Linked DNA regions of Rhinolophus ferrumequinum. The protein of the gene in region 1 interacts with the protein of each later gene in a pairwise test. Links are inferred from orthologs where the notes say so. Each region holds a gene or a part of one and is shown in the gene's direction. Other genes may lie near its edges. The genes, in order: CDH1 and CBLL1.

Region 1 (16,066 bases):
GAGATGGATGAAAAGCCGCTAATGTGGCACGTAATAGCCACTCTTTATATATATTCCTTTTTCTATACCAGATTCTGGTCTGAATATGTACCAGCTCACTTGATGTCTAGACAATCCTAAATGTGAGGTTCTACTACACCATCAAACCCATTTAATAGATGGGGAAATTAAGGCACAGCATCAGTACTTGCACATAGTAAGTGGTAGAGCTGGGATTTGAGCCCAAGCAGCCTGCCTCCTGAATCTGTATTTTTGAATACTACCCAGTTCTGCCTTTCAGATAGTTTTGCAGTGCAACAACAGGTCTCATCAGGAATGGGATGGGGAAACAGAGGCTCACAAGTGGGGAAAATTTATGGTAAATTTGACCCCAGCCTTTATCCATAGTCAGGCTATTTTGGACTCTTGGCTTTTTACATTTTATTTTTATATATTTTTAGATTTTTAGGTCACACCATGACTAAGTTCTGTCTAAGAGGAACCAGTCTCCCACCCCCACCCCCACCCCAACAGGCACAGGCCAAAAACTGGCATTCAGCAGAAGGGAAGTGGCTTCAAGCTGGACTGGAGCTGGCTGGCTGGCTCTACAAAGGTGGCTGGAGCTTGCTGGCTGGCTCTACAAGCCGCAGGCATGAGTCAGACCATGCCTGCCACCATTTGAGTACTTTGGTCAGAGAGGACACCCCCACCCCTACCCGAGGTGAGTAGCCTCCTCCTCATACTGGGGGATCATGCTGTTGCTTGAATGTTTCTTCTTATGTGCCCAGTATCTGTTCGCTCTTCTCATCATTTTTGTTTAGGAGACCAAACTCCCCTACCTTTAAGTCCATGTGGTCCTGGGATTCTGATTTCTCTTGCCTCACGCGAGGGCTGGTCACATGGTCCGGTCTTAGCCAATCAGAACCACCCAGCTATCTCTGGCCACAGGATTGCTTCAGAGGTGTGCACATGAGCCAACTCAGGGAATCAAAGTGAAACCTGAGACTTACTGTACCTATTGGAAAAGTATAGTGCTTTGTGGCTGGGATCACTGAACTGGTAGGTTGGGAGCCTGTCTCTGCCTTGATAGGAGACTCTAAAAAGAAAGTCAACATAGAGGAAAGCGAAGACAGAACAAGACAGACCCCTGATGACATATTTGACCACGTGGAACCATGCATACCTAAAGTCCATCTACCATGAACTTTTTAGTACATGAGCCTACAGATTCCCTTTTTTCTGCTTAGGTACTTGTATTTCTGGCATTTACAACCCAAGTGACCAATACAAATGCCAAGACACCACATAGAAGGGAAAGAACACTGGATAACAAGTCTTAAGGCTTGAGTTTGAGTCAAGGTTTCACTACTTAATAGATCCTGTAGCCTCCCTGTATTTCAGTCTCTTCAGCTGTGAAATGGGAATGGTATCCCTGCCTGTAATACAGTGTTGTGCTGGGAACTGAAATGAGCGTGGTAGGAAAGTGCTGTGTAATCTGTGAAGTGCTTTGCAAACTCAAAAGCTCCAAACAAGTGGGCAGCCTCTGTTGCACATGGTAGGAGGAGAAGGTGCTCTGGAAGTGAGCGGTTCCGTTCCTGCCATATCTGTCCAGCTGCATGACATCTGACAGGTGTTTTAACCTCCCTGAACCTTAGTTCTTGTCTTTGGAAAAGTAGATTCCTTGGTGTCTGTCCCCTGGGGGATTTGCAGACTGGATCAAGTGTCTCCCTGATCTTAATTAAAATCCTGCAGTGGCTCCCCATGCTCCCCATTCTCTAAGGACACAGTCCAAGCTGCTGATCATGATTAACACAGTCCTCCACTCCCCCAGCACGTTCCTTACCTGCCTGTTGGGTCCAATCTCCTGCCTCTCCTTCCAGCGAGACTGAACGACCCGAAATGCTAAGCCCTCCTCCCTCTGCCAGGAACACTCTGGCTACTCATCTGAGGTGTCACTTTCCCCAGGAAGCCTTCCCTGAGCCCCGTGTGCCTGCCCATCACATGGCTTGTTAATCTCGAATCATCACCAGGGCTGGTCTCCAACCAGGGTCACTGATATGGCTATTCTAGTTGCTAAAATACTGTATTGAAAAATTTCCATATCAGTTGGTAATCAGCTGTTTCCCTGAGCCCCTCAAGTGCTCCCCAAACCTATAGCCTCTCACATGAACCCCAAACCTCCCCACCACCCAGCAAACAAAAGGGTGAAGCACAGTAGAGGACCTGGGGATCCTGCTCTGGTCGTAATGGCTGGTGTTCATTTTGATTGGCCCCGTGCCCAGGCTCTACCAGGTAAATATTGTTAATAGCCTCCTTGCTTATTTCTCTGGATTGTAAATACCTGGTTCCCTTGCCTGTTTATTCCATCAGACCAAAAGGTCCTTGAGGGCAGGGAGGCTCCTCCCTCACTAGCAAAGCACTTGGCACACACTAGGTGCCCATAGAGTGTTTACCGAATGAATGGATGGATGAATGAGTGAGTGAATGAAAAGTTGGAGAGTCACTCTGGAAAATGATAGGCTCCCCCCATCCTCAGTCTGGACTTGAGTTTTCTTCAAGGCTTGTGATGGAAACCTTGCTCTTTGCCCTGGTTTTATTGCTCTGTAGGTTTCCACCCTTGCAGGATGTACCTTTCACCTGCCCTTCTGGCTCCAGCCTGGCCAGCTCCACCCTCCCCTCCTACAAAACTTGGACTTTCACTGAGCACTGCTGAACCTGGGAAGATCAAGACGCACTCCTCTCACGAACCCACAGATGGGTGAGCACACTATACACACACACACTCGTGCACAGGAGAGGACAGTTAACCCCGCCCACTGACTGGTAAGGGGACTAGCTCATCCCAGTGTTCCCAGGACTTTCCCGCTTTTAGCACTGAAAATCCTACACTCCAGGAACCCTCTCTGCCCCTGGCAGGTGGGGATGATTGGTCACCCTAGCACTGGGTCGGTTGGGTCATTCTTCATGGACATGGGTGGTCTTCGGATGGATGTCTGGCTTGCCCGTGCTGAGTGCAGGGCCTGGCACATGGTGGGTTTGCCACAGCTCGACCACTTCCCAGCCATGGAAAATCATGTTACCTCTCGGTTTCCTCAAGAGGATGGGATAATGTCTTCCTCAGAGGTACATATGCTCATAAAAGGCAAAGTGCCACCTGAGTGTTATATAAATGAGAGCCATTGTTACTGTTGTTGTTTTTGTTGTGTAATTATATATGTGCATGGAAGAAAAGTTTCTAGATTTTGCCATTTGTGAAACAAAAACAGTGGGAAGCATAAGGCTACAAAAGTCAGCCCTCTCCTAAGACTGTTCTTAGCAAGACCTCCCTCCTCACTTAAAGAAGAAAATAGCTTTATTCTGATAAAATTCATAAACTGCACTATTTACCCATTTAAAGCACTCAATTCAGTATTTTTTAGTATATGCATAAGGTTGTGCACGCCTCACCACAATCTAAGTTTAGGACATATTCATCGCTCTCTAAAAGAAGTCCCATACACGTTAGCAGTCATTCCCAATTTCCTTCCTACTCCCCAATCCTGACCAGCCCAAGGCAACCACTAATCTACTTTCTGTCTTTATAGATTTGCCTATTCTGGAAATTTCATGAAGTGGACTCATATAATATGTGGTCTTTTGAGTCTGGCTTCTTTCACTTAGCACAATGTTTTCAAGGGTCATCCATGCTGTAGCAGGTATCAGAACTTCATTCCTTTGCTTTGCTAACCCCCACCCCACCTCAATCTATTTTAGATATTTCCAGAAAGGGTTCAATGCTCACCATAGTTACAACAAGTTTGCACTTGTGGCGGAAGAGACCAAACTTTTTTTTTTTAATAATTTTTTATTTTTGCTATATCTAGTTCTTTTATTCCTTGTATCTTCAATTTTCTTTTGCCCTTATTGATTTTTCTTTATCTTTTAAAGATACAATATTTGAAATAAAAGGAGTATACGTATATCACATATATTAGTTATAATGAATAATTGTGAACTCACCACTCACCCCAAATTTCCTTCTCCAGAGAAATACTGTTGGAGAATGAGGATATAAGGTCCTTATCAAGCTTCTCAGCTTCCTTCTCAAGCAATTCCCAATTTTTACTAGTTATAATTATTCATATTTCTGTTTTCTGTAACTATAAGTCTTTTGTGCTTTGTCTGGAGGTTGAGTCTAAAAACTGAAAAGCAATAAACAGCATCACAAATCCGTAAATATTACTCACATGAGAACTCTTGGCCCCTAAGAGAAGGAAATCTGAACCTGGCCAGTGACACGGTTCCCCTCTCAAGAAGCTCAAAATCAAGAGTTTTTAGAGGCAGAAGAAAACGAAATGATCCTTCCAGACCAAGTGAGTCATTTTACAGACCGGAAACTGAGACTTAGGGAAGGAAAGATATTTTGCTTCAAGTCACGAGATCAAGCCCCTACCCTGTGTTCTAGACACCTCCTGGAATTTGATAAATACATTGTGTTAGCTCCAAATTTCCTTTTTAAAGGGAAATTAAACTGTGAAGCCTTCACATTAAGGATTCAAGGGCATCAACTAAGAAAATAAAACAATATCATGATTATAAAAAGTAAAAGCCCTTTGTTTCCAAGTATCTTTGACTTGGGAGAGGCTGAATTTGGTAGGGAGTGATTTCATTGGCTGTTGAGCCAGGAGAAGGTTGGCCTTGTCAAACCTGGAGGTAAGCTTTATCTCCCCTTCCCCTGTGGACAGTGTCCTTGGCTCTGAGAGGAAGGGTGGGACCGTCACTGCTCACAGGTGGGAAACAGGAAGCGACAGATCTGTGGGGCCCGACAGCTATTCTGCAGCACCTTATCTGTCTTTATTGAGTCACCAGGTACAAAGGTGTCTGTGCAAAGAGAAGGCACTCAGTCAGCCGTGGAGCTCCATGGCAGCAGGCTCCGCCCCTCTCAGTGGGCTTAGCAGAGGGTGAGTTAGGCCAGAGGGAGCCTGCTGCCCATGGAGTCCACTCAGGGAAAGCCCTAACCCCTGAGCATCATGGAATGTGAAAATAATAACAGTTAATATTTATTTAGCACTTCGTGTCTGTCGCATTTACTTAGGTTATTTCACTTAATTCTGGAAATCATGCAACAATGTAGGTGCTATTATTATCCCCATTTGTACAGATGAGGCAATTGAGGTCCAAAGAGGGTTTAAGTGACTTGTTCAAAAGCTTAGAACTAGCAAGTGGAGGAGCAGGATTAAGACCCAGGCAGTGAGGCACCACTGTCCATGCTGGGAACTGTTTAACTATACTGGCCTTGGACCTGAGCACCGGCCTCCACACTACCTCTGCCATGACCTGGCTGTTCATCGATCTGAGCCTCAGTCCCCTCCTCTGGAAAATGGGCAAAAGTACCTTCTGCTCTGTCGGCTGGAGGACCAAATGGTCCAGCCCAGGGCCTGCCCCCCTGGTTCCAGCTCTCATCAGCACTCCCCACCGCACCCCTTGCTATACTGGAAGCTCCAGCCTGGCTGAACAATAGCATCTCAGCCTGTGCTCCTGTCACCTTCTCTTGGCTGCCTTGGAGTCTGCAATTTCAGGTCAACTGGACAGACCATTTCTTGCTAAGTGAAGCAGTTTGCCTCTCAGTTCAAATTGGCATCTGGAAATAAAAGCCTGCTCTGACCTTAGCAGTATAACATGGAGATTAAGAGTCTTTGGAGGCCAGTGGCCCTGGGTTCAAATTCCAATTCTGTCACTTTTACTGTGTTACCCTGGACAAATCTCTTTACCTCTCTGAGCCCCTGCTTCCAAATCTGTAAAATGGTTGTAGTAATAGCACTCAAAGGGCTGTATGAGGACTCTTGAGAAGCCATATAGAGTATGGTAAGCTCCAATAAATGGTAGCTATCATTTTTATTACACAGTATATTGCAATTACTGGTATTTAGCACAATGCCTGTTACATAGTCTGCAATTGATAATATTTAATAAATAAATGGGTGAATGTTTACCTGTCTGCATCTCTCACTACCTATGAGCTGCTTAAGGGCAGGGACCATATTTTATTTCGGTGTCCCCAGTGTTAAGCAGGGTGCCTGGCCCATGGAGGTGCTTAATAAATGTTTGTTGTTTGCCCAGTGAGCTAATGGATCTGGACAGCCATCATCTGCGGTACTAAAACCACAAGGTGAAAGGCTGGTGGAGAACTTGATAATGGAGGGATCAGTTGACACCAACTGAAACTTAGTTATTCTAATAGAGTCAACCAGACAATTCCTTGCTTCCTGATATGATGCTTTGGAAAGTAATGAGCTATCAAGTCACGAAAAGACGTGGCGGAAACTTAAATGCATACTACTAAGTGAAAAGTCTACATACCTTATGATTCCAACGCTATGGCATTCTGGAAAAGGCAAAAGTATGGCCACAGTAAAAAGATCAGAGGTTTACGTGAGTCGGGGGGGCGGGAGGGATGAACAGGCAGGTGGAGCAGAGAGGATTTTTAGGGTAGTGAAGAGACTCTGTTGGCACTGTAATGGTGGATACATGTCATACGTTTGTCCAAATCTATAGAATGTACAACATCAAGAATGAATCGTAATGTAAACTATGCACTTTGGGTGATTATGATGTGTCAATATAGGTTCATCAATTCTAACAAATGTACCTCTCTGAAGGGGGGAGGCTATGTATGTGTGGGGCAAGGGGTACATAGGAAATCTCTGTACCTTCCTCTCCAATTTTCTGTGAACCTAGCACAGCTCTTCAAAAAATAGGATTAATTTTTTAAAAATGCAGGGGTGAAACGATGAAACAAGATTTGGTACAATTACAAAGTTTACAAATTATAAAAATATGTAAATTACAAAAAAATAACTGTTGGAGCTAGATGATAGATACATGGTGTTTCATTACACTACACATGATATACACTTGACTGTTTTCTTTACTTAGTGTTTGAAATAAAACAGTTTTTTTGCAGACGGGAGCGGCTGAGCCATAAAGGGCGGCACCCCTATCAGTTGCCATCATTTTGTCAGAGGGCAGAAGCAGAATATCCAGTTCCCTCCCCTGCCTGTTGGCAGGCAGCCCAGCCCAGCAGAGGTGTGAGGAGCCCCCAGGAACAGGTAGAATGGATTCTCCTCTCCCAACACTGCAGTGAGCCTGATCTGGCTACAACCCCTAACAACTCCAATTTCCCTAGGATTCCTCCCAGCAGGGCTGGGGGGTTGGGTTCCTCTCAGCAGAGCCTGGGGCAGGGGTGCCCCACCCAGTCAGGGTACTATTATTACCGCCTTTTGCCAGGAGATGAAAGGGACCAGGGAATTAATCATTTAATCCCTGGCTGACCAGTTGCCGGGACATCCAGGAAGTGAACGTCCATCAGAGACACAGCCTGCAATAAAGAAACCTGGAGTTTGTCATCCCAAGGGTGGATGCCCGGTTAGCACCAGTGGTGGGCTCTGTCATCTACCTGGAGGGGCAACTGGCAAGGACTCTGGTGAACATTTCTTTCTCCTGTTGATGCCTGAAATTCTACCATTAACATTAGACGGGCCCTCAAAGAGATCTCAACTCGAAGGTTTTGATTTTTCTTAACTCCAGTTGAGACGCTAATGAAGGCATTGGACCTCAGCACCTGCACTGACAAGATTGCATATAATCTCAGGGGTTCCACGACCCCCCCACCCCCACCCTCAGTCCATCCACCGACACCAGGTTAAGAACCCTGGGCGAAGTTTACTAGCTCCAGAGTTTTCATTCTTTGAAAGAAGCACACCTCAGAACCCTCTTTAAAATGCAGATGACCCTGGGAGGGTTGAAATGACTAACCAGTCAGTGTGAAAGTTTTCTCAGCAGAGGCCAGAGGTAGCCTAAGAGACTTTGATGGTGGGGGGTGGGGAATGGAGAGCCTGGGGGTGGGGAGGCTTCAGGAGGGCTCACAATTTTGCTGAGAACTGGTAAAGGAAAGGAATGTACTGAGCCAAGAGTGCTAACAGCTAACTTTAGGGCACTTATAAGAACCTTGTGAATTAAATGCTATCAACATCCCCGTTTTATGGATGAGGAAACAGACTTGAAGAGGTCAAGGGACATGCTCCCCAGCTAGTGGCAGAACAGGAATTTGAATCCTCCATCAGCCTGAGACCCAACGCCATCAGCCGCAGAGCTCAACATCAGCAGCACAGGCTCATCTTCGCCTGCTCATTTGATCCTCAGAATTGGCATTTCCTTTTTTTGATGGAAGAGGAAACTGAGGCCCACAGTCACACAATGCCGCACCTCCACAGGGCACCTCTGTGTGTCCCCTCCTCACCTGGACAGCTGAAAGAGGGCAGCCCTTCACGGCCAAATCCCTGGAGCTTAGAGAAGGACTTGCCGAGAAGTCTGAAGAGAACGTCTCTCCCAACCTGTCCTCACTGCCCCTAATTGTTTTCTAAAATCCTTTTTATTGAATTATCAGAGTGTAATGGAAGAGTCGATGAGAGTCGCTGCGGAGTTACAAGGCTAGGGCTTGCTGGACGGAGGAAAGCAAAGCCCTAAAGGCTCCCTGGGATGAGCGATGGTATAAAATATGTATTTTTACATAACTGGGAGAAAAAAAATAAACGGACAAGGCTGCCCCATGGGGGAAACGCCTCTTTCTGTATTTCCATTATCTTGTTTAATGCACAGTCCAGCAGGAGCCTCAGTGGGAAAGGAAATACTGGAGCCTTTTCCCTTTGAGCCTCCTGGTGGGTTAAGAGGCAGAGAAAGACAAGATGCAGAAATCTAAATGGTCTGGGCGTGTGCTCAGAAACCCATTAAAACTGAAGGGACAGGTTAGGGGGGAGGGGCAGAGCTGACCCGAAATAGTGTCTTGGTTTGAGACACCGCCTCTCCTCTGGGGTTGAGAAAGTAGCTTCAGTGGACTCAGATTTACCTTTAGCTCTGGATGGAATATTCTAAACATGACCTTTCCCCATGAGGAAGGGGAAAGGAGGTAGTCGTTTCCAAAGAACGACCTCCACATTAAACATCTATTGAGCAGTTAGTTGCTACTAGATGCCAAGTACTCCGTTTAGTGACTTTCTTGCATCAGCTCCTCTCAACACATTTGTACTGATGATAACATGGACTTGCCCAAGGTCACAGCTAGTGAGCAGCTGACTCCACACACTGTTTTGCAGTTCCGACCATGCTTGCGGAGTGAAGGGAAAGATGGTATCCTTGTCAGGGTAGGCAAAACACATAGATGCGGCTGGCCCCTGGCAGTCAGACAGGGATGATGTCCGACCTAACATTTGCATACCTTTTTTTTTTTGTTTTGGATCCTAAAATTATTTTACTGGGGATAGAATTCTCTAGAAAAGGAAGTGGTGGCTATGGTGTGGTAAGAGCCCCAGTCTGGGGATCAGGAGATCTTGGGTTCTAGTCTTGGCTTTGACGTTGACTTGCTATGGGACATTGATAGTTATTTGCAAATAATACGTTTGAATGATCTCTAAAGGGTCTCTGGCAGGTCACCATTTACAGGACAGATTGAAAACTACAGCTGCAGCTTGAAGACTATCCAGGGCCACATGAGGTGAAGCTAATAGAAGAAATGGCCCTGGAATCAGGAGGTTGGGTTCCTGCCCTCCAGCATTTCCTACTGGCCTCAAATTCTTTATGCCTCAGTTGTCTGTCTATCAAATGGGTTTAATAACAAAGCTCTTGGGTTGTTTGGAGGCGAGATTAAATGAGATGGCCAATGTCAAATGCTTAGCACAGAGCGTGGTACAGTAACTTGCAATGCCCAGCATCTATTGTTACTATCATCATTCACATCTGTACAGAGCTTTTATGGTGAGGAAATATTGGTCTTTTAATTGTATGTCAACGTCACAACAATTTAGGGAGGCATTTGTGATTAATCTCATTTGGAAGATGGAGAAACAGGCTTAGAAAGGTGGGTGCTGCCCAATGAACTGATTTGCAGACTCACAAACCGGTGGAGAGCTGCAGTTAAAAAGAACTAGATAAAGGATAAAGCCCAGGTGCTAGTGTGCACCCACCGCGAGGCCGGGACGCGAACCTGGTGGTAATCGAAATCCTGGAGCCCCTGCACGCAACCCTGATTCTAACAACCGCTGCGCCTGCGGGTTGCCGGGTCGCGAGGCAGCGGGGCGGGATCGGGGGCGGGCCGTTCATTCCCTGCCTGCAGAGGAAGCTGGGACCGAGCCGCATCGTTCATTGGCTGCAGCCGGCAGGTGCATCCTCAGCCAATCAGCGGGGCCGGGGGCGGGGCCTTCGAGGCTCACCTGGCGGCTGAGGCGCTGCCCCCCTCACTGGCGTCCAGAGCCGCAAAGCACCTGTGTGTTCGCGGAACTTCTGCCAGACCAGCCCCGTCCAGCTCCGCCGGACCCGACCCGACCCGCGCTCGGCCCGCCATGGGCCCTCCGTGTCGCTGCCTGTCCGCGCTCCTGCTGCTGCTACTGCTGCAGGTACGTCGTGTCCCTCTGGCTTTGCGGGGGACGCCTTCCGGCCCCACCTTCCGCGACCCGGCCCCTAAGTTCCTTCCTCTCTTGTCCTCCCTTCCTCTCTCCTGTCGTCCGCGCTCCCTTTTCTTCCAAGAAAGTTTGGGTCCAAAGAGCCTGAGCGGCCTGGAAGCTGCGTGGCGCTCTGGACTCAGCGGAGATGGGAGTGGGAGCGGGAGCGGGTGAGGAACTAGCGCGGTTTGCTCAGTGCCCCGAGGGGACCTGAGGTGGGGGCGCGCCTCGCTGCAGGCTCTAGGGACTCCGGGTTGGCCGCGGTATGGGCAGTCGGTGGCGCAGGGTGGCGGTCGGGATGGGGAAAAGGGGAGCACGGGTGCAAGTCCAGGGAGAGCCAGAAGTAGTGGGGACGATCCCTGAAGTAAGGAAAGGGGAATAGAAATAAAGGTAACTACCAGGTAAAGAAAAGGTAGTAAATAGGTATGGGGGCGCCCTCGGGATAAGAAAGTGGGGTCAAAAGGTGTTGGAGCGCCTTCGGTATGAGGAACTAGATTTAGGAGTGGGAACGTTCCCGGTGTAAGGAAAGGGGAATTGGGAAGAATAAAGATAGCTCCAGTGAAACGGAAAAGGAGACGGGAAGGAAATGGGGTGCTAGGTCGAAAGGAGGTGACCCAGCAGGCTCCTCTCCCCGGCGTTCCTGGGGGCTTGGCTGCCGCAGGTCTCAGATTGAGTTTGGCGTGGCTGCCTGCCGACGGGGTGGAGGGGAGTGGAGGTGGGTCCCTCCCACAATCTCGACGCCGGGAGCTAGGGAGGAGCGGTGTTGTCGGTTTCGGTGTGGGCTGGGAGGGACCCCCCAGGTCACCCCGGTTCCATACCTTTCCCCTACCCCAGGTCTCATCATGGTTCTGCCAGGAGCCAGAGCCCTGCCGTCCTGGCTTTGGCGCTGAAAGTTACACGTTCACGGTGCCCCGGCGGCACTTGGAGAGAGGCCGACTCTTGGGCAGAGGTGAGGGCGCGCCGCCGGGGTCCCGGAGCCGGGTGGTGGGAGGGAGTGGGAAGGATCCGAGAAATTGTGCTCCCATTCCCCTGGGCTGGATTGGGCAAGCCCCTTCTTCCGTGGTTCAAATGACACCTTTAGAATTTACACACATGTAGGAATCTAAACTTTATCATGATTGAGCACTGTGGTTGAAGGGGCTATCCTGGTGCGGTTAATTATGTTGGGGGGGGGAGGATGCTTATTAGAGCCTTCAGTGTGTTTCCTAGTGTCCTGACCACGTTAGAGGTTGTCGTTTCAGACTGCACAAACCTAATATGTGGGAAGGGCAGGAGGGAAGTGGTAATTCTTATTTAACAGATGAGCAAAGGAAGGCTCAGAGGGTGGAGTCCACTTGCTCAGGGTCAGTTTCGTGGGAATTTGCACTAGCATCTCTCCCAGGCCCCATTCTGCAACAACTCTGGGATGACTGAGGAGCCCTCTCAGTTATCAGGCTCTGGCTTTTGCTCATAGAGATGACAACATTTTGATACAGGTACTATTTCCCAAAGGAATAATAGTTTTTAAAAAAAACCTGGTAGCTCTGACTCAGGGAATGAAAACGTAACACAAATGTACTTCTGGGCCTTATCGCTGTGATAATCAGAATTCTAGAGTTTGCTTTGTTTTACTTCACTGTGGCCCAGGAGTGAGGGCAAGGGCAGGTTGGTTTCTTTTCTGGTTTCACTGATTCCCAGGTGCTTATTTCCTACCAAACCACTTTCTCCTCCCTTTTGATTTTAGTTGATTGAGCGAGTTATCATAACAATAAAGGAAACACTTGCGAAACAAACAAATAAAAAAATCACCCACTATTTCCCTGAGGGAATTCACTGTGTATTCTTCCAGTCTTTGGCCACGTGAAAAATCTGTTCCAATCACACTATTGTCTGAAAAATGTTTTCCAACTCTGGAAGTTCTAACAGTGGGCGGCTTTTTTTTTTTTTTTTTTAAAAACAGAAACTGAACCTTGATTGATTAAACGTTTGCTTTTCTGAGGCCTGTGTTGTGTGGAGCTTTCTGTTGGGTCAGAAAGGAAGTGTTGTCTGCCTGATTTTGCAGTGGGTCCACCGTTCTTTGGCCTCTCTCTTGATGTTCTGCCCGGCCCTGTGCTGGGCACTTGGGAATGAACTGACATACAGGGACATTCCAGTCCTGCCCTCGGTATTGCATGTTCTGGCAGGTTGCTGAGAATGTTCTAGGACTCACTTCAAGGGCATAGTGGGACATGGGCAGTTAGGTATTTGGGATGTTTTGAATGGGTATCAGTGGGCTGTGAAGATTGGCTTCTGGGAGGATAAAAAGTTGACCCACCTTTGAAGAGCAGGTCAGGGGTTAGAAATGGGAGTGTCCCCACACAAGTGCTGGTCACTCTTGTTTTCCTGCGCCAAGGCATTTGGTAGCACCAAGGGAGAGTTAGTCCGGTTTTTATCCCCCACACCCAAGCTTTTACATCTGACCAATAATCGTATTACCTATTAATAATATAATTATTACCATTATTCGCTTTTGAACTGGACGCTGGGGCAAGTGCGTCACATATTTTACCTTATTTAATCTTCCCAAGAACCTTATAAGGGTGGGCACCATTGTTATTTCTATTTTGCAGATGAGGAAACTGAAGCATAAAGCAATTTAGTAAGTTGCTCAGGGAACCACAGCTGGTCTTTCTCCTGCTTTCTCCCCTCCTCAGTAATCTCAAAAAAAAAAAAAAAAAAAAAAGAGGCTGCCTGGGGAATTGGTGTCCATTGTGAAATAGATGTCTTCCTCCCTGTATGTCTGGAAGAGCAGAGGTGTCGACAGGGCAGGACCCCAAGGAGGAGGTGGTGGTGATGGAGATGGGTCAGGCCAGGTGGGAGGTGGGGGGGGGCCTGCAACTGGTGGTCTTGGTTGGAGACGCGGTCTCCAGAAACTGCTTGTGTGACCGGTTCCCGTTCCCTTTATGTCCACAGACCCACACCCACTCAGTGATTTTCTGACATTTCACTTTTGGAGGGCTATTTGGACTACAGGGTCGCCTTCAACCAATCCAGTGTGGAATTGCCACAGGACGGAAGTATCCGTCTGGTAAAATCACACAGGCAACCTCTGGGGGAAGCGACCTTACTCTCTTTGGACAGTCCAGAAAGATGGAGGTATGCCACATTAGTACCGGGTTTAAACATTGGCTCTGTGGAGAATTTGCTGCATGGGAGTTTGAAAACAAGGAACCTGTCACTTTTTGTCCACCAGTGACCATAGAGTGTCACAAATAGGATTTGGCTGAATTCAGGGACCTTGGGGTAGTTTGCTGGGGTCATTCCTGTGCTCCGTGAGATTCCTGTATTTACCGCGTTGGTTTTTTTCCAGGTTCTAGAACAGAGAATGTTTTAAAAACAAAAACATCTTCAGTTTCTGATTATTTTCCTTTTTCTCAGTACAAACTGGTTTGAGCAACCCAGGCTATTAGACAGTTTCGCATCTCATATATTGCACTCAATTTTAAGTTGACTGTGGAGGGTGGTGGGAAAAAAGGGCAGCAGGCTTTGAAACCCATGGTTTCCTTGCTTTACTGCCTCTGCCACCTGGCCTTGGGCAAACCGAGCTTATATTTTGGGTCTGAGCTCTGGCTGCTTGATGGATTGATCTAGCTCACAGGAACCCACCTGTGAGGATTAAATACACCCATTTCCCCTTCTTTCTAAATGATGTGCTGAAAGGTGGTGGAAACAAGTATTTGCCCCCTAATTAAACTGGGCTTTAAAAAACAAAACAAACACGGAAAACAGCTTTGGGATGACCTTACATCATCAGATCCCCACTCCCCCACTGCTCAAACTCTGAACCACTGCTTCCCCGATTACTCACTTCTGTGACAAGGGTTATGCCGAGCTCACTGGGGAAGGAGACTACTGGGTCATCCTGACCCGGCCTTTGTGTCCCACAAGGAGTCGAGCCCTGCAAGGCCATTTAAGGAAGGCTGGCTGCTGCTCCTGCCCTACCTCTCTGCCAGGTGGTGATGGAAATCCTTGTTTGCTCTCCGGGGCTTTTTATTGAGCAAGGCTTTTCTTCCGAAATGCTCACCTTGGTGTCTGTTACACATTCCCTTCCAAGCGTAGCCCCAGATAAGCCAGACGCTGAAGCAATCAGCTTTCACATCTCCCAGAAGCTGCCAAAGCCCTAAAGTCCCCGAGAGGCACCTGTCACAATCCAGACTTTCTGGGTTTCCACTCTGCCTCAACTCCCATCTCCTCTCAGGGCTTTAGGCTTTCAAGGAGAGGAATGAAATCAATATGGCTGATCAGGATAGTTCTGTGAGTAAGCACCTGAAAGATCCAGGTTTGGATTTCAGCTACTAGCTGTGTGGCCTTGGGTAAATCACTTTACTGCTTATGAGCCTCAGTTTCCCCATGTGTAAAATGGGAGGCAGTAATACTTACAGGTTTGTTGTTAAATGTGCATATTCATTCATTCATTTAGTCAACATATGTGAGTGCCTACTGAGTGCCAGAACTGGGCTAGCCGCTGGGACTACAGTAATGAATAAAGCGGATGTAGGCTGAATGTTAAGGCAAGTGGGACAGATATAAAGAAATAAGATAGAGTCACTACATGGTGGCTCGAATTTCTTAAGGACAGAGTAAGCACTCAGATATCATTTTGAACACATTAATGAATGAATGAATAAATATTTACTATTCCTCATACCTTGGCTTATCTTTTTCCTACTCTGGCCTCAGGCCAGCCTTAGACGTTGACTATAAATGGGCAGGGAAGAGTTGGGTCTGTGGCTTTTGGAATGGGGCAATAAGTGTGTCCCAGGAACTCAGTGTACTGAGTGCTTCCCTCTGAAAGCTGCAGAGGGCAGAGAAAGGAGACCTCACATCCGAATCTGGAAATGGAAGAGCAGTTAGTCAGTTAGTGTTTTTCATCTTTGGTCAATTAAAAAGAAATTTGTGGTGCCCTTTCTGTTTTCCTCTCTGTTTCTAAGTTTCCCATTTATATTCTCAGCTTATGCTTGTTACTGTTGGGAGGGCTTTAGATTCCCTCTCTTTCTGCAGTTTTCCTCTTCCCTTCTTAATCTACCTCCAGTCCTCCACATTCCCCCAAGGCCCAGGTGGCATCTTCCCAATGTTTAGAAGGTTCTTGAGTCAGACTGCGTAGATTGAAATACAGGTAATGTCCCTTGCCAGCTGAAGAATACTGGCCAAGGACTTTCAAAACCTCAGTTTTGCCATCTGTAAAATGGGCAGAATAGTACCCAAGTCATAGGGTATGTCAAGTGCTCAATGAATATTAAACGTTAAAGCCCCTGGCATATTTGGAGCCTTCTTACCGTTTGGTTCAAAAGTTTACCTGTGCTTGCTCCCTCCCTGTGTTCTATCCCGCCCAGCAAACCAGCCAAACCAGTTTCCTCACTCTCTCTGCTTCTGTGTTAAAGCAAACACTACTGTGCAAACAGTGACTATACCATAGTACTCTTTGCTAGGAAAGGAAATTCTGGTATTTTCTTGCTTGCCACTGTGCAGTGTGTTTAGGGTGGGCCGACGTGGGTTTGCCTGTGGACCTGTTCATAAACATTGTTTAGAATTGTGGGAGGAATGGACAAGGAGCAACCAAAGGTGGGGAAGTCAGGATGACCTTAAATGTTTCAGCT
Region 2 (16,347 bases), on another chromosome or scaffold:
TATTACTTTCTAAGAGCACTTTCTAGGTTAAGGAAAGAATTATGAAAACCTCTCAGAAGTTAGAGTTGTTATTCTTAATGTTTTAAACTATTTTTCAATTTTAGACAGTAAATAAAGGTAGATGACTCATGAAAAATTAGTGCTCACATGCTGTCACCTCTCCACAAGTTTTTGGTTACACTATATTTATTTTGTTCAGGTTTATAACCTGAATGGTTCCATTCTGTAACCGTAATTTCCCTAGTTGCTCAGTATTAGTCAAGTTACATATTTAAACCAGTTGTATTTCACTAGAATGTAAGTTTCACACAGGCAAGGTGGATTATTTGCTTTGTTCACTGAGACATTTAAAATGACTACAAGAATGAGGAATTCCTGAGAAAGGGAGACTGGAGATGAATGCTGGGGACTTGTATGTCTGAAAATATCTCTAATCTACACTGAGACATCCAGGATGCTGGTATAGAATTCTAAATTGGAAATCACTTCTCATAATTTGGAAGGTACTGCTCAATTTTCTACCTTCTGCAATGCCTCGCTTCCTTTAGCTCAGCTCCATCCACTAGGGAGACTGCTTTGCCTTAGGCTTTTTTCAAGTTCATTAGTAACATTTTAAAATTTTCTAAAAAAGAAAATCCATTTGAAGTTAATTGGCCATTATGTTTTCTAATGTCCTTTACTCAAGAATAGCTTTTCCTACAACTTGGTACCAGGAAAATGTTTGCATCTCAGGGAAATTTCTATGCTATCTTTTCCGAGACAATAGGAATTAAGTAATCTACTGTGATTCATTTTTTTTGGTCTTGACTGTTAGTGTCCAATTCCATTAAACTCTCATACGATACATTCAATTCATTTGTATCCTCAGATGTTTAATAAATGTGCAGGAAAAGAAAAAAATAAAAATGACTATTGGGGAAACGTGGAAAATGACTAGAAGAGTGTCTGCTACTAATGAATAAGTTACCAGAGTTATTCACTCTTAGTTTTAAATTTTAATCTCTCTCCTTATTGGCTGGGTTTCATTGTCGTATATGTGCGTATGTGGAAACAAACACACACAAAGGGTTTTTTTTCTCACTCAAGAGAAGTTCAGACACGCTATGCTGTTTGAGGTCCTTCTTGTTTGAAGACGTGGGCTGTTGTCTTCTGGCATTAGATGTTCTTTGTTCATTTTTATCGAGTGAACTCTGAATGTTGGTGTTATAAGCTATCACTAATTCTTTACAATCCCAGTGGTCAATGCCCTCCTATCATAATTAGGTTTTTTTTATTGTAAGTTTTATCCATTCGTTTGCCATATTCATTTGTGTGCAGAAGTTTTAAATGTTTCTTTTTTTTTAAAGTTTTGACAGGGCCATATTATCTCTGCTGATGTTCTTCAGTAAGTCAACAAGTATTTTGTGAGCACCTTCTGCTAAATACTTCCATCCTCTGCTAAATACTGTGTATTATACAAACCTGGATGGCCAATGGACCCTGTCCTCAAGGAGCCTGTCTTGTAAAATAAGCATGTTACTACAATATGAAGTAGAGAGCGATGTCTTAAAAGAAACACAGTGCCTGGATGTTCTGAAGGGGCAGTAATTACCAAGAAGAATGAAGGAAATGACCAGTCATTGAAAAGCCTGTTATTTGGCAATGAAGAGTCTTCACAGATGTTGTCTCCTTTGATGATCAGGGCAACTCTGTAAGGAAAGTTATCATTATCCCCATGTACCAACACAGAAATTAAGCTTAATTGACAAATTATGACACAGGAAGAGTTGACATTTGAACCCAGTTCTGCCTGCTTCCAAACCTCATGCTCTTTATCTGTTACATATATTACCTGTTGCAAGAATGAGTCAGAGAAGGCTTGATGGAGAGAATGACATCTGAGGTCTGACCATTAAGTTCACAAACTCATCCTACCCTGTTTCCCTGAAAATAAGACCTAGCCAGACAATCAGCTCTAATGCGTCTTTTGGAGCAAAAATTAACATAAGACCCGGTCTTATTTTACTATAAATAGTAACAGTAAATATATATATTATACTATATATATATAAGACTGGGTCTTATATTAATTTTTGCTCCAAAAGACGCATTAGAGCAGATTGTCCGGCTAGGTCTTATTTTCAGGGAAACACGGTAGAAAAAGTGCTGCATACCTCCTTGCTGAATATCACTACGGTCATCTTTGAAGTACTCCCCTTGGGAAGCTACGCACTGACGCCAGTGCCTAGTCCACCCTTCAAAGCAATTTCGGAACTCTTTTTCTGGAATGGCCATCAGATCTGTCATCATATTACCCTTGATGTCCTGAATGTCATCAAAATGTCTTCCTTTCAATATTTCCTTTATCTTTGGGTAAAGAAAGAAGTCATTGGGGGCCAGACCAGGTGAGTAGGGAGGGTGTTCCAATACAGTTATTTGTTTACTGGCTAAAAACTCCCTCATAGACAGTGCTGTGTGAGCTGATACATTGTCGTGATGCAAGAGCCGTGAACTGTTAGTGAAAAGTTCACGTTGTCTTTTTCACACAGCCTTTTCAGCACTTCCAAGTAGTAAACTTGGTTAACTGTTTGTCCAGTTGATACAAATTCATAACGAACAATCTCTGATATCAAAAAAGGTTAGCAACATCGTTGCAACAAGTTGTTCCCAAACTTAATTATCAGACCTCCTGTGAGCAGGTGTCTTGATGGATACCATGTTTCCCCGAAAATTAAGACCAACCCCAAAAATAAACCTGTTAAGATCGTCAGCCAGACAGACACATTTATAGACACATTTAGTACATTATGACGATGTTCCAGAAGATGACATGACTGTATTTGAATAAATGTAGATTGTAAAATATGTAAAAATAAGACATGTAAAAATAAGACATCCCCTGAAAAGAAGCCCTAATGCGTCTTTTGGAGCAAAAATTAATATAACACCTGGTTTTATTTTGGGGAAATACAGTATAAGACCCAGTCTTATTTTCAGGGAAACATGGTAGGTATGTTTTCAGGTGGAAGTTAAGTATTGCAAATCTATGCGTAGTATTTTCCTCAACTGAGGTATGGGAGGGTATTAAATCTACTGTCAAGAAATGGTTTTTGTTCATTGGGAGACCCAGTTCACAGGTGGTAGCTATTACCAATTGCAGAAAAGAAACTCCAAAAAGACTTGTTCTTGAGTTTCCTGGTATTCTGTCGTACTAGGTATCTATTTTCTTCCTTATCATCCCTTTGCAGTCACACAGGATTAAGTCCTCCCAATGCGAAGATTTATCCTTCCTCTCAGACATTTCTAGAACAGCATAAGCTCTTCAAAACAACATGAGAGATATAAAGCAGTGCTTTTCAAACTTGAATTCCAAGACATTCGTGTACTTTATGACATCTGAGTGAGTCATAACCAGCTTTTTTTTTAAGGGACAGTACAGAAGAAAAACAGCAGAGAACATTATATATGCGGAGGGTAAGTACAGTTTCATGACACTTGTATGTATGTGTATGTGTGTGTTTGTGTTTATGTACTGGGCTACGACATAAAATATATTTCTGATAGTGAGAGACATTTAAACACTAACAGGGCCTATTTACAAACCAAGTATACCAGGAGAGCTGGAAAGCCGTCCTCCAACTGGCATGGAGTGGCCGCTGGGGCCAGGGTCAGCGAGCATGTGGACAACAGCCTTCTCACCTCTAGAAAACAGGTCGCAGACTGCTTGCTTACAAACATGGCATAGCTATAGAGCATTTTAATACCCGAAACATTCGTTCAGGAGTGAACTAAATAGAAATGTAGAGAGAAAAAAAATAAGGCAATTATCTCTTAGCAGAAAGGCTACAGGGAAGAGCAGACCTCTCCAGCTCAGAGGATCCCACTGCAAAACTTTCCTTCTCAGGAAGAAGGCAGGCTGCGGGGCCTCTCCAGACCAAAGGCTCCTGCCCACGGGGGTGTGACGCTGCCTCCGGGCTGCAAAGGGGGGAGTGGAGAAATGCCTTGCTCAGCAACGCACGGTGCTGCAGTCCTCAGCCTCTACTGCCTTCTCATTCCCCGGCTGTCTCTGGTCCACTTTCGTTTTTAAGATTCTTTTACATTAATTTTTCTTTCTTTTTCTTTTTTTTGTATTAGTTTCAGGTTTAAAAACAATGCAACAGTTAGACATTTCACCCCTCACAAAGTGATAACACCCTCCCCCAATCTACTACCCTTCTGACATCGTATGTATCTATTATAATTCCATTGGCTCCATTCCCTGTGCTGTACTCCACATCCCGTGACTATATATATATATATATATATATATGAAATTATAGTTGACATACAGTATTATTGAGCTTTAGTTTCAGGTGTACAGTGCAGTGATCAGGCATCTACACCATCCATGAAGTGGTCTTCCTAATAAGTGCCCATCTGCCACCCTACAAAATCTTTACATTATTGATTTATACCCCACAGCAATATTGTAGTTACCAATTTATGCTGTCTAATCCCTTCCCCTTCTCCATCACCCCCACCTCCTCCCATCCAGCAACCGTCAGTTTTGCCTCTGTATCTCTGAGACTGTTTCTGTTTACTTTGCTCATTCATTCAGTTCTTGTTCCACATGTAAGTGAGATCATCTGGCCCCGTTTTTGATGCTGGTGTTTGGAAAGCCAGCTGCTGTACTTGATAAGGCTTGGCTGTGGGAACACACTGGGGACCAGTGTCAGGAGCTGGTAGGCAGAGGAGGAAGCGGGGCCTGGCGGGGCTGGAGTTAAGCCTGCTAATCCAGTTGGAGAGCAGATCACTCTGCTGACTCCAATATGCAGAAGTCAAAGAGTCTTGGCTAGCTTTTCTCCCCCGGTGCCGAGCTGGGCCTGCAGGCTGTGGTGAGCTATGGACGCGGGTCTCTGTTCCGCAGGATGGGATTTGGTCAAGTTGTCAAAAATAAGGCTTACTTCAAGAGATGACGAGCGGGTAAAACTGATTACTATGCCTGGAAACGCTCGGTAATCCTGGATAAAAATAAGTACCACACACCCAAATACAGAATGAAAGTTCGTGTAACCAACAGAGGTATCATTTGTCAGACTGCTTACACCCGTATAGAAGGAGATATGATAGTTTGTACAGCTTACGCTCATGAACTCCCAAAGTACGGCGTGAAGGTTGGCCTGACAAATTATGCTGCTGCGTACTGTACTGGCCTGCTGCTGGCCTGCAGGCTTCTCAATGGGTCTGGCATGGACAAGCTCTGTGAAGGTCTTGTCCATCAGTCAGGAGGTGACTGGAGATGAATACAATGTGGAAAGCACTGCTGGTCAACCTGGTGCCTTCACCTGCTATTTGGATGCAGGGCTTGCCAGACTGGAAATAGACTGGAAATAGAATTTGGGGGGCCCTGAAGGGAGCTGTGGACAGAGGCTTGTCTGTCCCTCACAGTATCAAACGATTCCCTGGTTATGATTCAGAAAGCAGGGAATTCAGTGCAGAAGTACATGGGAAGCACCTCATGGGTTAGAACGTTGCAGATTATATGTGTCACCTAATGGAAGAAGATGAAGACGCTTACAAGAAGCAATTCTCTCAATACATAAAGAACGATGTGACTCCAGACATGATGGAGGAGTATAAGAAAGCTCATGCTGCTATATGAGAAAGTCCAGTCCATAAGAAGCCTAAGAAGGAAGTTAAAAAGAAGAGGTGGAACTGCCCCTAAATATCTCTTGCTCAGAAGATTTAGTGCAGAAGGCAAGCTTCCTCAGAGCTCAGGAACGGGCTGCTGAGAGTTAATAAACCAAAGAACTGTCCATGAAGATTTTTCATATAAAGACAATAATAAATGTATCTATTAAACAGCTAAAAAAAAAAAGTGTCTTGGTAAACACCAGGCTTGCTTTGTGTGTGCATCAGCAGGCTAACAGGTCCAAAAGGCCTTATTGTCCCTCTTCAAAGCTTACTTCCAATCCATTTTCATAGGCAATTATAATGAAATTGTAGCTAACATTTAACATTCATTTAATAATGTGCCAGCGCACTAGTTATCTCATTTAATCTCCACTATCACGTCAAGAAGCAGTGACTATAGTAACTATCCTGGTAACAATAAGTACCATTTAATGAGGACTCATTGTGTGCCAGAGGGTGATAAGCGCTTTAGACAGGTAACATTCAATTCTCACAACAAACCCCAAGGTAGGCACCATCACCGTCCCCATTTTACAGATGAAGGAAGTCAGCCACAACGATGAGGCATCTGCCTCCAGTGTCACAGCTGGTAGGTGGCAGTGCTGGGTTGGGAACCGTCGTTGGCTCCCAAGTGCATATATCTCCCTACCCTATTCCCCTGTCTTTCCCACGCATTTCTGCTTATGCAACCTGTCAGTGTATATGACACCATCCTGATCAGGTCTTCTCTTCTTAACATCTATCCACACTGTGGGCTTGGCCATCATCGGGTCCCTGGCTGCTTGGTCAGCTGCTCTTCTCCTACATGCATTGGTACTAATTCACCTTCTGCCTGTCCCCCCCACCCCCCCGCCCACATTTAAGATCTGCTCATTGTTTCTGACCATATCTTGCTGAATTATGTTGTTCATCTGACTATACTGTGCTAGGTTTTGTTTATATGCTCTTTCTTAACTATTACTCTGAAATCTTACTTTTCAAGGTTCTCTACAATCATACCTTATTTTATGTTTCACGACTTGCAAACATGGATCAATAGTGCAACTGGAACCGATGACTGTCTTCTATAGAAGCCGTGACAATTCTGACACCCTGTTTGCTGTGCCCCTCACGGCTCTGCTCCCTCAGGCCCAGCTCACGCCCCCCCACACAGCCCCTCTCCCTCACTCCCACCACTCATCTTTGCCTCTGCGTTGTAGGCAGTACTGCATTCCCGCAAACCACGTAGGATTTAATTCTACGTGTTTTTTGTTATTTCTATAACTGCTAGCCTGTGCGGTCCCTAAGGTAGGGACCATTATTTATACAGTTCTTACCTTCTGCTGTCTTAGGCACTACAGTGTGACAGAACTGAAAGAGCATTACGGAGATGACGGTTCTTGTCCTCACCTGGTATTGAGGAGCCTCAAACAAGCTCTTGGAAAACAAGCTGTCTGATACCCATCCTATTTTTCCTGTATCATAAACAGTGCTATGTAAATGGGGGACTATCAAAGCATCTTGAAGAACTGGCTTGTAATTCATAGGCTCGCAGATGGTCTGTCACTAGGATGAAAATGCGCACCTCAGTGCTCCAGATCGTCTATCACGATGTTCCATTTTTATGAACCTTAGGACAGTGCCATGCTATAAAATAAATGTGAATGTGGACTTTCAATAAAGAAATTGTGACATTACAGCACACAAGTCACCAACAATAGCTACCAAGCACAGTAATAAAATCTCAATCTATGTATAGTTTCACTTACCAGTTTAGTTAAGAGATTTACACTGCTGCACTGGTAAAGTGAAGCAACTACAGTTAAGGGAGAAATGAATATAGAGCATAAAGTAATGCATGAAAACAACAGATGTTAAATGAAATAATTCACCAAATGTTTAACATTTTATCAACAGGAAGTCTAAACAGGTGAGTTTTCCCTTAGTAAATTTTCATAACAATGCTGACAAAACTTCTGATTTAGATTATATAAAATAGTTTGAAAGTTCTTTTTTCTTCTAATTCTTTAAATATTAGCATCAGTAGACACTAATATTATTTTAAACCTGGATTTGCATCAATCTAAAGTATGGCCAATAGGCTAAATATGAGGATAGAAAAAATAAAAAGAGTACTTTCTAGGTGAAAACGACCTTTTTTTAAACCCCAAATTGGTGAAAAATGCTCGATCGTATCAACACTGTAAATAGGAAGTATGGGAGGAAGATTAAGCTTCTCCCAGCCTCCAAAACAAAAAATAAGGCCAGCAACTGAAAGCATCTTGAAAACCACATTTTAACAAAAGCAGGGGTAATCTTGATTCACAATTATCCTTCCTTGTGAAGGTCCTTAAAAACTTGTTCATGAAGTTGCAGATATAGTAGTGGGAGTGTCTTTTAAAGGATTCAAGTAAAACACTCACCAAATAACAGGGAACATATTATTCAAAGTTGTTACTGTATATCTATACAGATACAGCACATTGCTACACATACTTTATTTGGAATTCAGTACCATGAAAACATTTCTTGTAAGAGGTCAATGTAATCTCTTATTAATCAAGGAACTCTGGCACTGAAAGCGTGAATAACCCAAGGTAATGATGTCGTCACCAAGGGACGACAAGAATAGAACCCAAATCCCTTGACTCCCCAGCTTGTGTTTTCCACTAATTGTGCTCCTTTCTACCCATCAGAGGGTATCAAACGTAAAAGAGAAGGGAGTGGACACAAATGAGCCAAGCCCGAGAGGTGGAGACCGCACTGAAGGTCCTCAGGAATCACTCTTTGCCACTTTCCGTTGTTTTGGCCTAAGAAGATGAAAGCAGCAGCAGCCACAAACCCCTGGGACCAAGAACTGGAACTAGGTACTGCTTACTGTGGTAACTCTCTCTTCCTCCTTTGAGGCCTTTCCTTTTTAACCTCTCCCTTCCGGCCAGCCCTAACGCTCTCTCCACCTCCCCTCCTTCAGCTCCACGGTGCACTTTATTGACCGGCGTCCCCTAGAAACAGGCGGCTGCGCTGCACTCGCTCTCCACCTGACCCTGCACCCAGTCCTTCGGACATATGTTCTGGCTGTTCCTAGAGGCAGAAGCTTTTAGGCTAGAAAAGGAGTGCTACTCAAGCATTCTAAATGTGTCGCAACTGTTAGAAACTTAAGAGGCGGGAACGGGGACAAATACCAAGTCGGTTGTGCGTGGGTCTATGTAGCTCGTCGCGGCAAAGCGACCTTTAGACAATAAGCACAGCGCCCTTCTCTCTAGCTGGGAGCTTCACACAGCTCACCCATCCCCTGGGCTAGCTCCGCCGGAGGACGCCTAGGGGAGCGCGCGTGTTTACACTTTTCCTAGACCCGGGGAGGGGACAGCCGCTCTGGGACCTGGGGGATTCCAAACCGTTACTCCGCCTGCCGGGGTGGGGCCGCCCAACGGCCGAGCCTGCGCACTGGGCCTGGCCTCTCCAGGGCTCCGGTGCACTTCAAGTCCCAGAAGTCAACGCTCAGCGGGGGCGGGCATCCGCCTACCTGCCGGGAGCTTATCCCTCCAGCTACTACCGCTCTCCCCCTCCCCGGTTCCCGTCCGTCTCCTTTCCAGTCAAAGGCTACTTTCTCTCGAAGCATGTGAGGAGAGGCCGTAGCAACCCCGACATCGAAGGCCTTAGCCTACTCGCTCTTTCTTCCTCAGCCCGAACTATGCCTAATTCGCTTACCGGAGTTGGGTGGTGTGAGCCAGGAAAGGAAGCCCTCGGAAGCCAAAGCCGGGGCAACCTAATGGCACTTCCGCCTCCCGGGCTCCGGAAGGTAGCGCGCACGCGCTCCCTGCGACTCCGGCGCAGTTGACTTCCGTTCCCACTGTGCTCTGCGAGCCGAATCATGGATCACACTGGTAAGGAGGCGGAGGCAGTGGGGGTCCCGGTTCCATGCCCCCTTGGCCGGCCTGGGACTGGTCTCCTAGCGGACATAGAGGGGTTACGCTCGCCCTACATTACTGGGGTGTAGCGGTGAGAAAGAAATCTTACAGACCCCTCCCCCTGCCCGGCAAGGGCCTGCTACTTCCCGGCCTACTCTCCGGTGTGGTACCTCCAGCCGCGGTGCCGGCAACGGCCGCTTATCTGGTTCTGCTGAGCCCCGAGCCGGGACGGCGGGCGGCGCGGGCCTTGTGCGGAGATCTCGCTCTCTCTCTCTCTCTTTCTCTTTCTCATTCTGAGGGCTATGCCCTACATTACGGGAACTAGGGGGAGATTCCCGTTTCGGAGACGGGGAAGCCTTATTACGCTGGGAGTGGATTTGCGAGAGTGGGTTGGAGACGTTCTGCTGTCTCAGGCAGCTTTGGGCGGGTGCTGCGGTGGTCAGCGTCTGTGGTCATTGTCTCTCCCGTCCTTTATGGACTAGAGGTGGGAGAAGGGAGTCGGGTTGGTTTTCGGAATGATGCTCGGAGCAGCTTTTCTATCGAAACCCCGCGCTTCGGCTATGGCCCTTACTCATCATTTGGGGACATTTACAAAGGAGAACTTAAAATCAAGACATTCACATCTCTTTCTCAAAGTAAGGATGGCTCCACTCTTTGTTACGTGTTTTTTTGGTTTAGCTTGCTGGGTTTTTGGATATTGAATGAGTGCACTTGGGATTAGAAAGTGCTTCGTATAGTTACATTAACCACATCGCAAATAGGGAAAAAAGGCGTTTTCCTGTAGTAAGTACTTGTTGGGATGTCCTCAATCATCAAATACCTGTCTATCTGTCTGTCTGTATTTTTCTCTATCTCCAAAACTTGCAGGCCTGGAGATGGAATGGTAAACAAGGCAGAGTTACTGTCATGGAGGTTACGATCTATTGGGGAAGACACAATAAATTTTTTTTAAAGCCCAAATGTTTACAAGTTATGATAAGTTCTTTGAAAACAAACATGCTGTGGTAAAGACTAATACGACGCTTCAGAGAGGGTGGTAGGGAAGGTCTTTCTCTAAAGGTAGCATTAACAACTTGAGATCTGATGGATGAGAAGAATCCAGCCATGGAATAGATCAGGAGGAAAGCATATTCAGCAAGTACAAAGAATGAAGTGGGAAATTAGTCGGCTGCAGCTTAGTTATTAGCAAGAAGGAAAGAGCTCTAATACGAGATTGGAAAGGAGGGCAGGAATCAGGTCGTGCAAGACTTTGAAGGCCATGTTAAAGATTCAAATTTATTTTATGTGCAATATGAAGCCATTGAACAGAAGTAGAAGAGGAGCATAGTATCTTAAAAATATAATAGGTTCTATGGAGAAGGGTGTAAGAGAGGGTGGCAAGAATAATAGAAAATAGACAATTTAGGAGGTAATTGCAGTAAACCAGAAGGCAGGCTTGGCTTAGTGAAGAACCGGAGTGGACAGAGTCAATAAATATTTTGGTGGTGGAACTTAAACCCACACTGATAGATTAGTTTGGAGAAATGTAAGAGAAAGAGAGATGCCTAAGTTACTGGTTTCATCAGCTAGGCAGTGCCTATTACTGAGTTGGGGAAAACTTGGGAGAAAAACATTTTTTAAAGGGGTAAAAGGTGATTGGTGGGCATTTGGGAACAAGATTTTGGACTGCTAAGTATGAAATGTATATTGAGATATGCAAGGAGAGATGTCATGTGGAGATCAGAGAAAGAGGTGGGCTGAAAAATACATATTTGGGACTTAGCATCACATACCTGATATTTTAAGGCAAGAGGATGGACAAGATCACTTAAGGAGAGGGAATACAGAAGAGGGTCTAGAACCAGGCTCTAAGGAACTCTATGTTTGGAAATTTTATAGACTTGAAACTAGGATATTGATGTTAGAGTAGCAGACATCCAACATTAGCGAAATATTTCTTTTTGAGCCTATTAACTGGAAATGGGAGTAAGGCCCCACTCACAGTTTAGAGAATGTTCTTAGGAAATTGTAATATGGGTGGGTGTATACCTGAGTATTTGGTATCCTAGTTCTCTTAAGTTAAAAAAAGTAAGTTAAAAATGTAAAAGTTATCCTAACATGAAAATATTCACTCATGACCTGACCATTTAAAAATTATCTCCTACTCAGATATCTCTGCGGCTTAACACTAGTTTCTTTTCTGTTAGTTAATTTTGTTACATCCTTGATGTTTCATATCAGGAAACTATCAAATGCTGTATATAAATTGTGATTACAAGCTTTACAAAAGATTCAGCTTTTCATGTAATTTATAAAAGTGAATTTGAATAATTATTTAAATAATTATTTGAATCACAGAATCATTGGCAAGTGAGGAAATGCCAGTTAGCCAGTTAATTGAAGACATGACAGGATAGGCATCTCACAGGAATGATTTTAATGTCAAAGGATTAAGAGAAGTCCTTGAGGAAACTGACAAAACCCTCGAATATTATGCAAAAATGACTGATTTTTCTGATCATGTTGAAAAAGTGAAACATATGGAAGGTTAGCCTGTGGTATTCGAATAGAATTTTGCCAGCAAAATCACTCCAAGAAACTGCCAGTTAACACTTGATTTACTTTTTGGTCATTCTAAGAATTAGCACTTAGCTGTCACTGTAATCTAAATTTTCTAAATTATTTTTTGGTTCCTTTAATTCAAGATAAAATTCTAAATATTTTTAAAAATTATATAATAGTGTTATTCCTTTTTAAAGTGGATTCACCTTAAAAGGCCAGTTATATCCTTCGTTCTCTTTCTTTGTAATATCTAAGGACTTTTGTGGTTTTAGTTGGCGTTTTCAAAAGGAAATTGCTGTAATTTCTGATTCTTAAACCAGAAAACCCAAGACAGACCCAGAATTGATGTCATTATTACATGTTGTACTTTGTTGATGGATTTGCAGTCTGTAAGACAGGCGGCAAGGTGTGTAAGGGGCAGCAGGCTCTTGAAAGTTGTGTTGGGTTAAGCAAACAACAGTGGTGATAGTGACTTCAAGTGCTCAGGGTGGTGTGAAAAGGGTTTGGAGTGATGACATGTTGGTATTCTGATCATTCGCCAAGGGAACTCCATTAAGAGTCTCTTTAATATCTGAAGTGCAGCATTGAACTGTTAACTGTCTACAAGAACTTGATTTTTTTTTCTTTAGTCCATTGGAAAATCAGAAATAACTTTAAGCAAAAACCAAAAATTCATTCTATCATACTTGTCTTTTGGCTATTACATTGCTTGTAGGTACTTACGTAAGCAACTAAAGTGAAAGCAGATGAAATACATCCTCAACTTGTTAGTACAGTTAGTGAAGTCTTGAAAATTATCAAGTTGGGTTTGTCTTAATTGATTTTAGCTGTGCATGTCATCCCTTTTCCACGAATTTTGTCTTGAGTATTAGCTATTGTAAAAGCAGTAGTAGAAAGTAGACTGAAAGGTATTTAATTATTCAGGACCCATTTTGAATGATGTTCTGTATATTGTTCAGAAAGAGTGCAAATCATCATGTGAATTTAATGTGTGTTTGTAATCCTGGTCGCTCTGGAGGTCATTAGTACTAGGTTACTACTTCCAGACTTGGCTTTACTGACTTTAATGTAGACAGCTTGGCTCTCAATCTTGGTTGGACTATCTCCCCCAGTAGCAGTTACACAGCCTGTTCAATCACTTGTGATGTTTAAAACATTACTATTTGAAAAAATTATTTTATTTGCATTTCCTCCTTTATGGCATTTCCCTTTCTGTCTTTAGTAGGTAGGTAAAGGTGAAAATTTTCTATATTGTAATATTTTGTCATAGACTTGAAAAAAGGTGACTTTTAAACTTCAGATGGAGTAAGTTCTTTGAAATAATACTATTTATTACTCATGGGCTATCAGTTAATTTATTTCATAGTCAATAACAAGCAGGGACTTAGAAAGTGTAAATTGTTTATACCTAGTTGAAGTACAGAAACTTTGCATCTTCCTAAATTATAATTTTCCGTTACAGTGCTGACTAAAACTAGCAGTCACATGTACATCTAGAAATGTTATTGCGTGTTTGTACTACTAAATGATGTGATAATTTTTACTATGTTCCTAAAATGTTTTTTAGAAAAACTATTTTACACTTAAGGGAATAATCTCCTTCCTTAAAACTAACTTTAATTTCAATGCATTTACTTAGTTTTACCACTGTCAGTGTTAGTTTTGTGTTTTTAGTTTTATTGATTGTCCTGATGTAGAATCAGTTTACTAAATGTATTGAGTGCCTACTTTGCGTGCTTGATGGAGATAGGGATGGTTTCCTTTTTCTTCTCGTCCCTCTTTTTCTTCTTTTAAAAATCTCTTAGTTACTGTATTTTGCCATGTATAATGTGCTCCTGTGTGTAATGCGCACCCATGTTTTTGACCCAAACTTTCAGGGAAAAAAATTTTCTGTTTTAATTTTTTAATTCAAATTTTTATTTGTTTACATTTAGGTACTTGTTTTTTGTATTATAAAGGAATTTTAGCATTTATTTTTTAGCATTATGTTACAAGAAATTTTATGTAACAAATAATTACAAAACACAAGAACAGATACAAGGTACAAGCAATTTTATGTGCCAGTAACAGATTTACGATATTTACGCATCATAGAAGGCCAAGAACTCTTCGTCGTTTCAAGTTCATCGTAAGTTCAACAAAACCAACGGTCATATTCCAGGGTATTATTTTGCATACGGATATTGTTATCGATTTCTATAGTTACACTTAACTCATAAGCATAAATAAAATAATTAAAAATATTTATGTAGATATGGAATTAGTACTACCCATGTATAATGCACATCCTTATTTTTCCCTCACAAATTTGGGCAAAAAAAAAGTGCACATTATATATGGCAAAATATAGTACTTCAAGACAGAAGTTCTTATCTTGGGTTCATGAGTTTTATTTTCTATAAACCCCTCTGGAATTATATGAAAAATTTTATTGTCTACTTTTTTAGGGAGAACTCTATAACTTTCGTCAACTTTTTAAAAGGTTTCATGTTTCAAAAAGCATTGCTTTGGGGGCGGTCGGATGGCTCAGTTGGTTAGAGCGCGAGCTCTGAACAACAGGGTTGCCGGTTCGATTTCCACATGGGCCAGTGAGCTGCTCCCTCTACAACTAGATTGAAGACAATGAGCTGCCGGAGGGGCGGCCTGATGGCTCAGTTGGTTAGAGCACGAGCTCTCAACAGCAAGGTTGCCGGTTCAATTCCCACATGGGATGGTGGGCTGCGCCCCCTGCAACTAAAGATTGAAAACGGTGACTGGACTTGGAGCTGAGCTGCGCCCTCCACAACTAGATTGAAGGACAACTACTTGGAGCTGATGGGCCCTGGAGAAACACACTGTCCCCCAATAAAATAAAATAAAATAAAACCTCCCCAAAAAAACCCACATTGCTTTAAGGGTTTATCCCAAAGTAGAGAAAATTAGCACTTATATAACATAGCATTCAAAATCAGAACCCAGATACTCAACCCTTGATAATGTTGGGTGTGTTGCTTTAATACTTGCAGCAGAATAATCTTCAAAAAAGAAAAACTAAAAGAAATGACAACTTTTTCTCCCTCACACAGACAATGAGTTACAAGGTACCAATAGTTCTGGATCATTGGGTGGTCTTGATGTTCGAAGACGAATTCCTATAAAGCTCATCTCCAAACAAGGGAACAAAGCCAAAGCTTCACCGCGCACCCCGAGGACAATAAACAGGATGCCTGCAAAGGCTCCGCCTGGGGATGAAGGTAATTTGTCTCAATTTAGAGGTCTTTGTTGTATGGGATTCCACCAAATAATCCATGTGATTTTACTTACTTACAGCTACCTTTTTAAATCTTACATACTCTCTTTTCTTGTACTTTTCTGTCCCTTTATAAATATTTTGTTTAGTTTCTTTTGTTGTTGAAAATAACACTGCCTATTGTTAAAAATTTAAACAATATTGCAGAAAGCATAAGATTAAAAGTAAAACTGTCCCTCAATCCCACAATACTTCTCCCCCAATATAATCTCTGTTACAACTTTTTATACTTTCTTTCATCTATAACTGCCCTTTTTTCATGTAAGATGCATTTGAGACTTTGCCTTCTCAGGATGTACAGATATACCTCGTTTAAGAAAATAAGTTTAGGTATTTCATATATGGATATTTTTTCTAATTTTCTGCTGTTAAAAGCAATGTTGCAGTAAATATCCTTATACATATACCTTAATGTACATATACCTGTATAAATGTCCTTATACATATTCCTTAATACCTTAATATACTTTAATTAAAAATTAAATCAAAAAATTTTTTGATTTAAACTTTGCTTTGGGCATTTTAGGATTTGACAAATGTTGTCAAACGACTCTTCAAAAACAAGTACATTAGTTCATGCTCCCACACATCAATATTGATGCTTACTATTAACTTTAAAAATATACTTTTCTTTATGAGTGGGGATGTATGTCTTTTCATATTATGTTAGTTGTTTAGTTTGCCTAGGATCGACCTGTTTATATATTTTTTTCCCGTTTGGTTGTCTTTCCTCTTGATTTTTACAAGTTCTTTGTAAATTAATAAAATTGGCTCTTTGTTATATATTGTGTGTTTTCTCTCCCCGCCTTCTTGAATTTTATATATAACATTTTTATTATAGAGAAGCTGGAAGATTCTAGGTAGCAAATATCCATTTTTTTCTGTTATGACTTCTGGTTTTTTTTTACATTCTTAGAAAGACCTTTCCTGTAGTCCTATAGGAAAGGCCTTTCCTATAGTTCCTATATTTGTGAGTAT

The links.
Region 2: the proteins of CDH1 (region 1) and CBLL1 interact in a two-hybrid assay, tested with the Homo sapiens proteins (2 studies listed by BioGRID, with this or other methods). The link is inferred for Rhinolophus ferrumequinum from reciprocal best matches to the Homo sapiens genes CDH1 and CBLL1.

Annotation. Positions count from the first base shown.
Region 1 is NC_046298.1:18,068,120-18,084,185, forward strand, and holds the start of CDH1 (cadherin-1), read left to right. Parts: upstream 1-10,230; 5' UTR 10,231-10,352; coding exon 10,353-10,406; intron 10,407-11,285; coding exon 11,286-11,400; intron 11,401-16,066.
Region 2 is NC_046303.1:50,832,780-50,849,126, forward strand, and holds the start of CBLL1 (E3 ubiquitin-protein ligase Hakai), read left to right. Parts: upstream 1-8,226; 5' UTR 8,227-8,449; coding exon 8,450-8,498; intron 8,499-8,548; exon of another isoform or gene 8,549-9,502; coding exon of another isoform or gene 9,503-9,515; intron 9,516-15,145; coding exon 15,146-15,313; intron 15,314-16,347. UniProt on the Homo sapiens protein: E3 ubiquitin-protein ligase that mediates ubiquitination of several tyrosine-phosphorylated Src substrates, including CDH1, CTTN and DOK1. Targets CDH1 for endocytosis and degradation.